Linked DNA regions of Oryctolagus cuniculus. The protein of the gene in region 1 interacts with the protein of each later gene in a pairwise test. Links are inferred from orthologs where the notes say so. Each region holds a gene or a part of one and is shown in the gene's direction. Other genes may lie near its edges.

What was found.
Region 2: the proteins of MED4 (region 1) and TNFAIP8 interact in binary tests that used the Homo sapiens proteins (3 or more experiments, as listed by UniProt). The two-hybrid records come from large-scale screens. The link is inferred for Oryctolagus cuniculus from reciprocal best matches to the Homo sapiens genes MED4 and TNFAIP8.

Annotation. Positions count from the first base shown.
Region 1 is NC_091440.1:67,114,861-67,118,510, reverse strand, and holds part of MED4 (mediator of RNA polymerase II transcription subunit 4), read left to right. Parts: intron 1-1,674; coding exon 1,675-1,732; intron 1,733-3,365; coding exon 3,366-3,452; intron 3,453-3,650. UniProt on the Homo sapiens protein: Component of the Mediator complex, a coactivator involved in the regulated transcription of nearly all RNA polymerase II-dependent genes.
Region 2 is NC_091437.1:9,305,839-9,308,526, forward strand, and holds the end of TNFAIP8 (tumor necrosis factor alpha-induced protein 8), read left to right. Parts: intron 1-600; coding exon 601-1,166; 3' UTR 1,167-2,160; downstream 2,161-2,688. UniProt on the Homo sapiens protein: Acts as a negative mediator of apoptosis and may play a role in tumor progression.

The DNA of each region.
Region 1 (3,650 bases):
AGGATGTTGTTTGTGTTTCTGCAAAGTGGGTCTATTATCAGTATTTTGAAGAGTAGAAAAACCTTCCAAGATGAAAAATAATATTCTGTCAGTAAGGTATAGGCCCTTGTCACCTTCCTTCCCCCACTTTTCTGGCATATTTTTAGATAGTCTTCATTATTTTTGAACCTCACTAATGTTTTAAGCAATAATGTAAAACCTTGGCTTTTAAACTTTTGAAATCAGTAAAAATAATAATGATTTTATAAATTGATTAAAGTAGAGTATATTTAGCCTTCCATCCTAATCTGTGTGGGGTTTAGGTCTATGCTGAGAACTCTGGTTTTGCCTTTGTTGTGGGCTGCTGTTTTCGCTGTACTGACGAGTGTGATTATCGTGCGGTGGTACTGCAGCAGTGGCTGAGCTCGATTCCTGTATAGACCGGATGCTGCTAGTCCACTCCTTGTCCCTGATGGACAGGTCCTTGACCCTGATGGACCTCTGGAAAATGTGTGAGTGGCTTCTAGTAATCAGAAGCCTGAGCCGCTCAGGGGAAATGAACCACCCTCCTGAAGAAACAACCCCAAGTAAATGCTTCTGAAAAAAGATATTTTTATTAAGATATGTTTTTCCTTTTGAAAGTAGTATTTACTTATCAAAATCAATTTGGAAAAAATTGCCTCTAGTCCCACTGCCCCAAGCATGCTAGTCTTCACAGTTTGGTTTATTTCCTTTGAATCTCAGTGTACTCATTTTGTACCTTATTGTTATTATAGTACTACTCTTTATTAAAACATGAGCATTTTCTGTGTAGCTTTATCTTGTTTGTTTGATTTTTCAAGTGTTACAAATAATGGGTTACTGAACGTCCTTGAGGAACCATTTTTTCTTCTTCTGCATTTTGGGTTATATTCTTAAGATTTCCAGAATTATTGAATTAAAGACTGAACATGAGAATCCTGAGAGTGAATTTTATGGTTTGGACAGCGGCAACTGGTGCTGATTAAGCATTTGGGCCCTAGACCCTGATCTTTGCACTTGTTTTTTATATGCATTATTTCTGTCTTCAGACAGTTTATAAAGTGCCATTATTCAGGTGAAGAAATCAGTGCTTTAAATAACTAACTCCCAAGGAGGCTAAAAACAGAGAGATGGCTCTCAAACCTAGATCTTCTGTTGCCATACTTTTAACCACCTTGCTGTAGTTGAGGATACACCTCTACAAGGTCACTTTATTTTACCCTTTAGTGTGCTGTGGCAGGTCAGAGGAATGTTTTCATGGTAACAGTCATTAAGTACTGAGGTGATATATAAGTGAATTTCAATCCAGGAATGTATCTTACTCCTTTTTTCTAACAGGGAGCTTTAAGGTATTTTATTCTTGAGCTAGATGCAAGAATAGGATGTTTTGGGGGTGGTAAGTAGTCTGGATCTAAAGTAAAGGATCCAGTTAAAACTGTGTTTCTAACAATTGTGGGTGAATGACAGACTAGTTGGTGAGTCTGTTTCTTTCATGAAATACATCGAGTGTTTCAGAACACTGTAACAATAGTTTGTAACTTTGCAGATAAATTATGGGGGTTCTGAGCTTGCACATTATTCCTTTGAGATAAGTCATGCTGTGAATTATGCCAAAAATTGCTTGATAAAGTTGAAAATAAACTGTATTTCTTTGTTTAATGTTGTTTTAATTAGGCAACAGCTGTTTACCAAGCAAAAGAAAAACTCAAGTCAATAGAAAAAGCAAGAAAAGGTTAGTACTGTGGGAAGACTGGATGACCTGAAAAACCCAAGTTCTGGTCTGAAGCATCTGAAAAGAATGTTCCTGGTAATCATTTGCTGCTGTTGAAAGATCCTAATAAATTTTCATTGTAAAGAGTATTATGTTCTAGCCTCGTGATGGGCATTGTTAGGGAGGCGGAAGTGTTACATGCTTTTTCCAGATTATCAGAAGCAGTAACAGAGGGCAACTTCAGCTCTCTACTTGAGTGTGCAGTAAAGACAGTGGGTTTGTAAAGCTGTTCAGAGAAGGGAGAAGTGTGAGCTGGAAGCAAGTGGGATTTCAACTGGATCTTGAAGTCTAGGACAGAATGAAAGAGAATGTCCTTTGGACAGCTACACTTGTTCTACACTTGGTTGAGCATGATGGAATCAAAGCTGGATGGAGCTTCTGGGTGCAGGCACCTTTAGCAGGCAGAACCCCAGCCTGCCTTCCTGCACAGCTCTCCCCCTTTAAAGGGCTTCAATTATGGATCTTGCTGCTTCATTTAGTTTGCATACTGGAAATAGGAATTGTAATTAACTGGTTACTTGTCTCTAGTAATTTGTAGATATGATTTACATTTAGTCATTTTGGATTTGTCTAACTTTTCTTTTCCTGTTCCTTTGGGAACCTGTGTTTACATGATTACATATGAAGAGCAGTGAATATCTTCTCAGAGATGGGCTAGGCTTCTGTAGCAGGAAACAGATCTCTATGAAATGTGATGGTATGGCCATCTGAAATCTGGACCATGTTTTTGTTGAGTCTTCAAAAGTTCTACATACAGAAACATGTTACCTTGTTACATTAAAGCAGTGTCTAAAGTTTATAGTGAGCCTCATTTCTCAGAGATAACTATTCTTAGTGTTTGGTTAGTGTGTCCTAGGTTTTTTTTCTAGATCTGTGAGTATGTATATAATAAAAATATGAATACACATGTGCCTATATTTTCCAAAAAAAACCATGCTGTTTAGCAGCTTATTCTGCCTCCCCCTAAGGAACACATTGTAGATGTCTTTCTGTTTGGATCTGTTTGGAGTGGGATACATTCAGCAGGAAATGATTTGTTCTGGCCCTAACAAGACAGCTGCAGATGGGACTCAAATTCAATATATCTATGGCAGGCTAATTTTTAAGTAGATAATTTTGTGTAAATATCCAAAAGGCCCTTGGCAGAAAAAAAGTTCCCCACCCCAATAGAACCTTAGGTCAAGTTAATTAGGCAGAGTGGTGTGAACCTTCTGCTCCAATTTCATAGCTTGGATATTGTTGCAAGATAAAGTACTGTTTCACTATTTTATTTGCATTCACTGTTGATTTTAGAAGAGTAGTATCTGGTGGTAGTTAATCATGGACTATTGAGTATTAACATGCTGTTCTCTCAAATTTGTTTCTTTATGCCAGATGATTTTTTGGAACAAGCATCTTCTATAGTTTGGAAATAAAAAATTTAGCTTTATATATGCGAAATATATATGTGTTGTTATGGAAGGTGGATAACTGGGATTATTTTCAAATAACTTTCTGATACTTCCAGATAATTTAAAATCAAGTGTGATGTGTAACCGTGTTTATGCAGTTCCAAACTTACTATAATGTTACCCTGTCCCCTGAACTCTCTCAGGTGCTATTTCCTCTGAAGAAATAATCAAGTATGCACATAGGATTAGTGCAAGTAATGCTGTGTGTGCCCCACTGACTTGGGTTCCAGGTAAAAATACTTTTTTGTACTATTTCTATGTGATTTCAAACATCATTAGCTGACTATATAAAAAGAATACATTTAGGTATAGAACACGCTTATTCTGAGAAACGTCTGTTACATGTTTTCACATCAACAGTGGATAACATATCAGACAGGAGACCTAAAGTATAGCAGCAGCCTTTTTGGAGGAATGGAAGATAATTA
Region 2 (2,688 bases), on another chromosome or scaffold:
GTGTTGAAATCCGAAGTGGTCAGGGCAGCACAGCTGGAGTGTGCTGGCCAGCGTCTTGGGAAATCTGCCTTTTTATAACTGGGTTGTGAAACAGGGCTCCCCTTTGATTTGCTTCCATGAATTTGCCATTTTTACTCATTGCCATTGCTTTGCCACTTCTCCTTCTTGATTTAGGTGGGGTTCTTTCTGTTGCTTCCCTTGCTGTTCATTGCCCAGTGGACCAGTATAGACTTGATCTTCTCAATGCATTTTTTTTTTTTAATAAAGTTGACTAGGGAAAATGGCGTAAAATCTTAGTGTCTGATGAGACATACTGTTTTATAAAGGTGAAAATTGTTTTTTAAAGACATTATAACCTTGAACTTCTAAAGAAGGTATTAACTGTATAACAGAAGGTAATTGAATTGCCAAAGACCTTAAAGATCGTTCACCTGAACGATTCCACAGTGCCTGGAAATGTGGAAAGTAGTGGGAGACAAGCCACAAATAATGGGGAAATGAGAGGGGAAAAGTACTCCCTGATAATAACTGTTTTAAAATTTGCTTCTCTTGCGATATGTAATGGTCTCCCCCCCCACTCCTTTTTTTTCTCTTTTGCAGTGGCCACAGATGTCTTCAACTCCAAAAACCTGGCCGTTCAGGCGCAAAAGAAGATCTTGGGGAAGATGGTGTCCAAGTCCATCGCCACCACCTTGATAGATGACACAAGCAGCGAGGTGCTGGACGAGCTGTACAGGGTGACCCGGGAGTACACCCAGAGCAAGAAGGAGGCCGAGAAGATCATCAAGGACCTCATCAAGACTGTCATCAAGCTGGCCATTCTCTACAGGAACAACCAGTTTAACCAGGACGAGCTGGCCCTCATGGAGAAGTTCAAGAAGAAGGTCCACCAGCTGGCCATGACGGTGGTCAGCTTCCACCAGGTGGACTACACCTTCGACCGGAACGTGCTGTCCAGGCTGCTGAACGAGTGCAGAGAGCTGCTGCACCAGATCATTCAGCGTCACCTCACCGCCAAGTCGCACGGACGCGTTAATAATGTCTTTGACCATTTCTCAGATTGTGATTTCTTGGCTGCCTTGTATAATCCTTTCGGAAATTTCAAACCCCACTTACAGAAACTTTGTGATGGCATCAACAAGATGTTGGACGAAGAGAACATTTGAACGTGTGAGTGAAGATTGTACCGGGTCGTGATTTGTTTAAAGATGGAGCACTGCTGATTTATGAAGGAAAAGGCAATTCTTTGAAGATGACACATATTTCAGAAAGACTCCCAATTCAGTTTTCCGACGTCAATGATAATGCTTTTATGAGGCTTGTTTTATTTAATAAGAAGCTTATTGCCAAAAATTCTGGTTAAAAGTTTCGTAATGAATAGCAGATATGGGAAAGATGTGTGGTTAGTAGCAAAGGTAGCTACACAGACAGGGGAGACTGTGTACATGGATCCAAACCTTCAGACATTTTTTTGAAAATTGTGTTGGTGGCACATTGGCTATTTCCAGCATGTACAAAGTTACGTGATTTGATTCGTTTTTATTCCTTACAACGTTTTCCTTTTTAGAAGCCAAGAATTTTCTCTTGCTGGCATTGCTCCACTTTCTAGTCTACCCTGGCTCTTTGATTAAAGATGGTGTCATTGACTTTCAGGAATTAAGGCTGAGGCAGTCCAAGTGAACCTTCAGAAGAACAGAACACTGCTTGTGTGAAGTCATTACTGTGGAAATGAACTATGTTAGACTTCATGATAAAGCCCAGGATAAGAATTTGCTTCTGGAACTGAATCCTGCTTTTTTGGTGCAACACGGTGATTCTTAAATTCCCAGAAATACAATGGCACGTCTCGGCCTTGAAACGCTTACTTAGGGCTTAACTTTCGATTTGTTTTGAAAATGTGCTGATGAAATCTCCACATGGGACATCTAAGTTTAATATGTAAGAGACAAAGAAAAAAATCTGGATTGGTCAATTTAAAAAATGGCATTAAGGAAGATTTTTTTAAATCTTCATTTTGGAGATGAGCCCATCAACGTAATTGAGGGGGTGGGAGGGCAGAAGGGAACAAAGGATCTTCCTGAAGAACATGACCATGCAGACGAATGCAATGTAATGTCTAAGGAGGTCTGATAAAATAAAGAATGTCACTTTTTTATTTAACTGATGAGGGTTTTTGTTACTTGCTGTTTTTGATGAGTAAACCGAAAGTTTATTTTCCTTCCAAGAAGTCTGGGTGCTGTGTGTGTGCACTTCTGCATGTGTGAACGATAAAGTAGGCATTCGCTTGTTTTGTGAAAGATGAATGGGAACCTCCTGGGAAGTGACAGATCCAGTCACCAGCAGGGAGTCTTTGATGGTCACTGCCTCCGTGACTTAGTGTGCTCTCCTAGAATCTGACGTTCAAGTAACAGTTCACCTGGAAAGGTCTTGCGATGAGAACTCTGCAGGTGGAGGTCTGCCTCAACCCCACGGTGGCCTGGAAGAAGCCCTCTGTTTCCCTGAGACCCTCGCTTGCTTTGGCAAAAACTAGCTGCACAGGCAAAGGTTGTCTCCCTGGTTGATACCAAATCCTGCCACTAGAGGCACCATTCTCATTTCCCAGATCCTGTAGGTGGTCACTAGATATTTAACGATAGCACAGTGACCACAGAAATGACCGCTGTTGCATCATAACCAAGTATAACCAAG